Xenopus tropicalis: one gene and its partner. The protein of the gene in region 1 purifies or fractionates together with the protein of each later gene. This does not show direct contact. Links are inferred from orthologs where the notes say so. Each region holds a gene or a part of one and is shown in the gene's direction. Other genes may lie near its edges.

Region 1 (4,294 bases):
TAAACGTTTTAATCTTCCTTCTTCCAAAAAAAGTCCTCTGAAATAGCAAATGTAAAGAACACACAGTGTGGTGGACTCCTGATAGGTGATGGTGAATTCAATTTAAAGGATCCCTTTTTTTTAAAGCACAAAGTCAAAACACCAAGGGTGAAACACACACAGCCATTTCATTCCATGGCAGATAATGGCTGCCTGCTCAGTTAGCCTCTCCTTGTGACTCTGATGAAGGATGTTTCGCAGTGCACAATAATAACTCAAAGGCAGATGCAAGCTGCGCACTGATTGGCTGCAGCATTCGGGAGAGCCTCTAAGCCAGCCGCTGACGTCATCGTGGCCAAGACCCAAGAAGGGGGGGCACCCACACACACAGCAACACAACACAACACAAAAATTAATCTATAACCGAAGGTAAATAACAAACACAGGGAAGCGCTTACGGATAATGTTGGCATGTCTAAATTACAATGTCTAAAAAGGATAAGACATAGAATTACCTTTTATTAGCGTCCAATTATTTAATGCGCGAATCACGAATCACCTTACATGTACATATCTTTGCCCCTCTCAACAGAGGAACTGGCCGTGGCCGCCTAACAGAACGTTACGTACCCATGTCCCAGTCTTTTCTGGGTTAATTAAAATGGAAGAGAATGCTGGCCCGGGGTTAATTCATGGATATGTACTATCCCCCTAGGAGAAAGGGGAGGACACATGAGCGGCTGGGAAACACTCCGAGTTAGCCGTGATATAAACGTCCGATTCATGGGATCGTGGGGGGGACACCATTACCCCACAGTGCCAAACCAAACTACACCAAATCAATCTTGTCCAACGACTGTTTAAGGGCGCCATGTAAACCCAATACGGCAGATTCCAATCAAGTCTCCCCCCTCCCGCGGTCCTCTTGTAGCCTGATAAAGAACGGGGGAATTCCAAGCCCTACAAAATAATGCCGGACCCTTGGGAGAAACCGAGGGCATCCCGATTTCGCCTGTTAAATACCGAATAGGATAGTTAAAATACCAAACCCCCTATTAGTATAAATTATATAGGTATATCTATACCGGCACAAAGTACTCATAGCCATAAATTAACCCATTCATTGCACCAGCTTTCGACTGGAAATGGGACGGGAGAAATAAAACACTTCTCTCCGCTACATAGTTTAAATAAGTGAATTCATTTAATTCTTCCAATAAATGCACGCATTTCATTAAAACAACGATTAGTAAATAGACATTAAATTTAAATTTAGCAGCGCCACTTGATGTGACGAATGTGCTAGGCGGAAGAGGAAGACTTGTTCCCGGGGCTTCTGGCTGGCTAGGGAGAGAGAGGAGGGAGGCGGAGGACGCGGTGCATTGTGGGCCGCCTCAGAGCGAGCAGAAGCACAGCTCACACACAATATGTGTTGGCTCGCCAAAAAGGAGCAGCCAGGGTCCCTTCCACAGCATGTCATGTAACCGGGGAAGGGGCCTGTGAAGCGGCTTGGCCTTTCCTGCGGGGCAAGGAGATAGCCCTGGGCGCAGGAGAGCTGAGGTTGGGGGAGTGGGGAAGGCGGGCAGGCATGTCTTTCAAGGAGGCCAAGCCTGGGGAGAGAGGCAAGAACCCAGAAGACCATGGCAGAAAGCAGACTGCAAGTGAGAATGGATCTTGTATAGTGTATCGTGCGGTAGCAGGCATGGAGGCTGAGGGGATAGAGATCACACTGGGGCTGTAGCTTGCCATTGTGTGTAGAGCTTTGCCTGCTGGACTGCCCCAGCTCCACTATTCATTTCTTCTGTTTGTGGCTTGCAGGCTGGATCAACGGGATGGAGGCAGGCAACCAGCCCAGTACTTCGGGCGAGAAGAAGAGTCACCATTGGCGGAGTTACAAGTTGATCATTGACCCTGCTCTGAGGAAGGGGCAGCACAAACTCTATCGTTACGATGGGCTCAGCTTTAGCATGCCTGTATGTGTTCCCGGCTCGTGTGTGTATTGGGGTTGGGGGGGAGTTCTCTCTTTGCAATGGTTTCGCTTTGTGGCTCCCTAACATTAAGTATTAGTGGTCTGATCCCAGGGATCCCTCGGCTGAGCCTTCTCCTGCTGTAATGCATTGCCCATGCGTGGAACTTGACAAGTGCATCCCGTATAGTGTGCCCCTGTCAGCGAGTGCAGCTTCCCTCTTGCACAGTGTGTGGTGGGGTGGGGGGCTTATATGTTTACTAACTGTCTTATTTCTTCGCAGAACTCCGGGGTCCCCCCTGTGGATTCAGTAAGAGATCCCCGGATCGGACGTATATGGACCAAAACTAAAGAGTTGGATTTGCCTGTCCCCAAACTTAAGGTATTATTGCTCAATGTATGAAGTTCTCTCGGATGATGCTAATTGGCAGACTGCCTGCTATCAGTACTATAAGTGATGAGCATGCCCCCATGTGTAGGCAGCAGAGAGCATTTGGCCAGACGTCTGTCTGAGAAGTGCAACATGTGGCTTCCCAGCAACGGTTCTTGCGCTACAGCTCGCAGCTTATCAGGGAAAGCCGGCCTGCCCTGGAATGCTGGGAGCAGTAGGACATCAAACAGCTGGAGAATCGCCTGCCGTAGGCGACTTTGCTTTGCCGTTAGATTGATATCGCTGTACTGTAGCCAAATGCGTTAATTGGTTCGCTTGCTTTGGCAGGCATTGACCTACTGCCCCGATGATCGCCCCATGTCCCCCCCTCTTTAATTCCATCCCTCCTTGTCATTGCAGATCGATGAGTTTTATGTGGGGCCAGTGCCCCCCAAGCAGGTGACGTTTGCCAAACTAAACGATAACATCCGCGAAAACTTCCTGGGGGACATGTGCAAGAAATACGGGGAGGTGGAGGAGGTGGAGATCCTTTATAACCCCAAAAATAAAAAACACCTGGGCATTGCCAAAGTCATATTCGCCAGCGTGAAGGGCGCCAGGGACGCGGTGAAACACTTGCACAACACCTCGGTCATGGGCAACATCATTCACGTTGAGCTGGACACGAAAGGTGGGTGCGTTAGGGCGCCAGGGGCTTCCCGGTCCTGCTGCCTGTGCAGTAACCCACCGAGCTCTACTGCGCTCAGTCCCCAGTACCAGCGAGTCACGTGTAGAGAAAGTGTTGTCTGTTGCTAGGAGACTGCAGTCCTGGCCTGTGTATCACTAAACTTTCTTACTCCTGTCAGTTTCCTGCTACTTTGTAGCACTTTCACTCATCTATTTTATACACTCCACAACGGCTCACCTTGTTCATTGTTTTTAATCCTTTTAAGTATTATACAGTGTGCTGTAGGGTTATTTACACCAATCCCTGCTTTTGTTCAGGTACAACTCTGAGCAGTGCTGGCTATTGTAGCTTGAAGGGAATGTTACAAAACCAAATGCAATTTTGCCCAATTAAATGAAATGCCATTTTAAGTTTTTCTTCCAGTATAAATTAATCAGAACATATAAATATGTTTACAGTTATCTGTAAATATTATTAATTTTCAAAGAAGCACCTGTCTGTCCCATTTGCACTGCTGGTTCTGTCTTTGTAGCTCTGAAAATGTGCAATTCCCATGTGCAGTTTCTTTCATAAGTTTTATTTTTGGGTTTACATCTCCTTTGATTATTGCTGGTAAGGGGGAGGGTAGTCATAGTCTGTATATACAGAATTGTAGACTGGGCTTCACTGACAAATTTATGTTTTATTTAATAATAAAGCCACAGACTTAGCATATTCCTGATGTAGGTGACTGTGTTGGCACCGCCATGCACATTTCTTATAGTATGGCTGTTTATAGATTTGTCCAAACAACACATGGAATAAGTGAAATGTTAGGAATTAATGATTTGTGCACATCAGTAGCTATGTGTATGCCCTAAAACAGCAACATCTGCAAAAAGCTTAGAATTTCAATCGGTAGATGTAGTAGTCTCCTGTTGGCAAATAGGTGTCAGTTGGTAATCATGTTTTTTTTTAATATTGCAAGTAAGTAGTGTAACTTCACCAGCAGAAGCTTTGTCTTTGCTGTTCATTTTATGGCCATCAACAGAGTGAATGGAGTTCCTGCTGCTGTGGAAAAACTACAGCCTCTGGCAACTACTCCAAAGATCTGCAGTAATTTATTAAGATTTTAGTTTTGCAGAAAACCATTTTATCAGTATCACAATGCTTTAACCTGGTAGTCATTGTTTAAAGAAATAGTAACATTAAAGGAACAGTAACACAAAAAAATATAAATGTATCAAAGTAATTAATATTTGCTATTACCCTGCACTAGTAAAAGTTGTGTGAAACTCTGCTATAGTTTATA
Region 2 (3,814 bases), on another chromosome or scaffold:
GGGTTATACTGTGTCACACTGGCACTGCCCCCCCAGCATTGTACTAATGGGCCCCACGGGAACAGGGGGTTATACTGTGTCACACTGGCACTGCCCCCCAGCATTGTACTAATGGGCCCCACGGTACAGGGGGTTATACTGTGTCACACTGGCACTGCCCCCCAGCATTGTACTAATGGGCCCCACGGGTACAGGGGGTTATACTGTGTCACACTGGCACTGCCCCCCCCAGCATTGTACTAATGGGCCCCACGGGTACAGGGGGTTATACTGTGTCACACTGGCACTGCCCCCCAGCATTGTACTAATGGGCCCCACGGGTACAGGGGGTTATACTGTGTCACACTGGCACTGCCCCCCCAGCATTGTACTAATGGGCCCCACGGGTACAGGGGTTATACTGTGTCACACTGGCACTGCCCCCCAGCATTGTACTAATGGGCCCCACAGGTACAGGGGTTATACTGTGTCACACTGGCACTGCCCCCAGCATTGTACTAATGGGCCCCACAGGGTACAGGGGGTTATACTGTGTCACACTGGCACTGCCCCCCCAGCATTGTACTAATGGGCCCCACGGGTACAGGGGGTTATACTGTGTCACACTGGCACTGCCCCCCCAGCATTGTACTAATGGGCCCCACAGGTACAGGGGTTATACTGTGTCACACTGGCACTGCCCCCCAGCATTGTACTAATGGGCCCCACAGGTACAGGGGTTATACTGTGTCACACTGGCACTGCCCCCCAGCATTGTACTAATGGGCCCCACGGTACAGGGGGTTATACTGTGTCACACTGGCACTGCCCCCCAGCATTGTACTAATGGGCCCCACGGGTACAGGGGGTTATACTGTGTCACACTGGCACTGCCCCCCAGCATTGTACTAATGGGCCCCACGGGTACAGGGGGTTATACTGTGTCACACTGGCACTGCCCCCCCAGCATTGTACTAATGGGCCCCACGGGTACAGGGGGTTATACTGTGTCACACTGGCACTGCCCCCCAGCATTGTACTAATGGGCCCCACGGGTACAGGGGGTTATACTGTGTCACACTGGCACTGCCCCCCCAGCATTGTACTAATGGGCCCCACGGGTACAGGGGGTTATACTGTGTCACACTGGCACTGCCCCCCCAGCATTGTACTAATGGGCCCCACGGGTACAGGGGGTTATACTGTGTCACACTGGCACTGCCCCCAGCATTGTACTAATGGGCCCCACGGGTACAGGGGGTTATACTGTGTCACACTGGCACTGCCCCCCCAGCATTGTACTAATGGGCCCCACGGGTACAGGGGTTATACTGGTCACACTGGCACTGCCCCCCAGCATGTGTACTAATGGGCCCCACGGTACAGGGGTTATACTGTGTCACACTGGCACTGCCCCCCAGCATTGTACTAATGGGCCCCACGGGTACAGGGGGTTATACTGTGTCACACTGGCACTGCCCCCCCAGCATTGTACTAATGGGCCCCACGGGAACAGGGGGTTATACTATGCCAGCCTGGCACCTTTTAGGGTAGAAGCAAGAGATGGAAAGGGTAAAGACACTCTGCCCATGGGAAGGAATGATACTCAGAAGCTCACAATCTATGAGGAATAGGACCCCCCCCTCCCCATGTTGCAACAGGCACATTTCCCTTCCTGATCCCCTTAGTACAAATAGTAGTGGGGATAGGGCACAGCCACTGTGGCAGTTACTGATGGGGGGGTTCTTTGTTGCCCCAGGAGAGTGAATTTTCAGACGCGGACCTGACTGCGGCCGGGGACACGGAGGATGGAGAGAACGCCCCGGTGTATTGTATCTGCCGAAAGCCGGATATCAACTGCTTCATGATGTGAGAAATACACGTGTGTGATTGGGGGGGGGGTCATTCCATAGCAACATGCACCCCTCATCTAGCCAGGGGGGGCGTTAATGCCACTAACAGCCCATATAATGCCCCTAAGCTGACACCGTGCCCACTGCAGCCTGATCTCTATCCTGGTTTGTCTCTCGGCAGCGGCTGTGACAACTGTAACGAATGGTTCCACGGGCACTGCATCAACATCACCGAGAAGATGGCAAAGGCCATACGAGAGTGGTACTGCGTGCAATGCCGAGGTAAGCACCAAGGGGCATTATGGCAGGGGCGGGGGGTGTGGGAGGCAGTTCCGGTGGGGGTTAGAGGCCGGTAGGGCGGGGGATGTGGGGGGCAGTTCCGGTGGGGGTTAGAGGCCGGTAGGGGCGGGGGATGTGTGGGGGCAGTTCCGGTGGGGGGTTAGAGGCCGGTAGGGGCGGGGGTGTGGGAGGCAGTTCCGGGTGGGGGTTAGAGGCCGTAGGGGCGGGGGATGTGGGGGCAGTTCCGGTGGGGGTTAGAGGCCGGTAGGGGCGGGGATGTGGGGCAGTTCCGGTGGGGGTTAGAGGCCGGTAGGGGCGGGGGATGTGGGGGGCAGTTCCGGTGGGGGTTAGAGGGCTCGGTAGGGGGCGGGGGATGTGGGGGCAGTTCCGGTGGGGGTTAGAGGCCGGTAGGGGCGGGGGATGTGGGGGCAGTTCCGGTGGGGATTAGAGGGCCGGTAGGGGCGGGGGATGTGGGGGGCAGTTCCGGTGGGGGGTTAGAGGCCGGTAAGGTGCGGGGGATGTGGGGGGCAGTTCCGGTGGGGGTTAGAGGCCGGTAGGGGCGGGGGATGTGGGGGGCAGTTCCGGTGGGGGGTTAAGAGGGCCGGTAGGGCGGGGGATGTGGGGGGCAGTTCCGGTGGGGTTAGAGGCCGGTAGGGGCGGGGGATGTGGGGGGCAATTTCCGGTGGGGTTAGAGGCCGGTAGGGGCGGGGGATGTGGGGGCAGTTCCGGTGGGGGTTAGAGGCCGGTAGGGGCGGGGGATGTGGGGGGCAGTTCCGGTGGGGTTAGAGGCCGGTAGGGGCGGGGGATGTGGGGGCAGTTCCGGTGGGGGTTAGAGGCCGGTAGGGGCGGGGGATGTGGGGGGCAGTTCCGGTGGGGGTTAGAGGCCGGTAGGGGCGGGGGATGTGGGGGGCAGTTCCGGTGGGGTTAGAGGCCGGTAGGGGCGGGGGATGTGGGGGGCAGTTCCGGTGGGGGTTAGAGGCCGGTAGGGGCGGGGGATGTGGGGGGCAGTTCCGGTGGGGGTTAGAGGCCGGTAGGGGCGGGGGATGTGGGGGGCAGTTCCGGTGGGGGTTAGAGGCCGGTAGGGGCGGGGGGATGTGGGGGGCAGTTCCGGTGGGGTTAGAGGCCGGTAGGGGCGGGGGATGTGTGGGGCAGTTTCCCGGTGGGGTTAGAGGCCGGTAGGGGCGGGGGATGTGGGGGGCAGTTCCGGTGGGGGTTAGAGGCCGGTAGGGGCGGGGGATGTGGGGGGCAGTTCCGGTGGGGGTTAGAGGCCGGTAGGGGCGGGGGATGTGGGGGGCAGTTCCGGTGGGGGTTAGAGGCAGTAGAAATATATAAAGGTGTGCCTTTTGCCCACGTGCCAGACAAACACCCGCACCTTGAGATCAAATACAGACACAAGAAGTCGAAGGAGCGCGAGAGAGAAACGGAAAAGGATGAAAATGAAGAGACTGCAAAAAATGAAAAAAAGAAAAGCGGCAGCACCAGCAGCAGCAGCAACAAGGTACCCCGGGTAGGTACCTAATGTGTATTTACCTATATACCTGTGCTGCTGTACGTACAGGCTATGAGCAAACTTAGGGGGCTGTTCCTGCTGAATTGTGCTTAGTACAGGGGAATCCCTATGTGCCATAGTTTTATGGTATCTCTCTGTACAGGCTATGAGCAAACTTAGGGGGCTGTTCCTGCTGAATTGTGCTTAGTACAGG

Evidence for each region.
Region 2: the proteins of setd1b (region 1) and cxxc1 purify together in Homo sapiens (affinity purification with mass spectrometry; 11 studies listed by BioGRID and IntAct, counting the BioPlex papers as one, with this or other methods). This does not show direct contact. The link is inferred for Xenopus tropicalis from reciprocal best matches to the Homo sapiens genes SETD1B and CXXC1.

The regions. Positions count from the first base shown.
Region 1 is NC_030677.2:162,156,738-162,161,031, reverse strand, and holds the start of setd1b (histone-lysine N-methyltransferase SETD1B), read left to right. Parts: upstream 1-1,331; 5' UTR 1,332-1,567; coding exon 1,568-1,640; intron 1,641-1,797; coding exon 1,798-1,952; intron 1,953-2,228; coding exon 2,229-2,327; intron 2,328-2,735; coding exon 2,736-3,006; intron 3,007-4,294. UniProt on the Homo sapiens protein: Histone methyltransferase that catalyzes methyl group transfer from S-adenosyl-L-methionine to the epsilon-amino group of 'Lys-4' of histone H3 (H3K4) via a non-processive mechanism.
Region 2 is NC_030684.2:1,159,329-1,163,142, forward strand, and holds part of cxxc1 (CXXC-type zinc finger protein 1), read left to right. Parts: intron 1-1,738; coding exon 1,739-1,848; intron 1,849-2,013; coding exon 2,014-2,114; intron 2,115-3,469; coding exon 3,470-3,618; intron 3,619-3,814. UniProt on the Homo sapiens protein: Transcriptional activator that exhibits a unique DNA binding specificity for CpG unmethylated motifs with a preference for CpGG.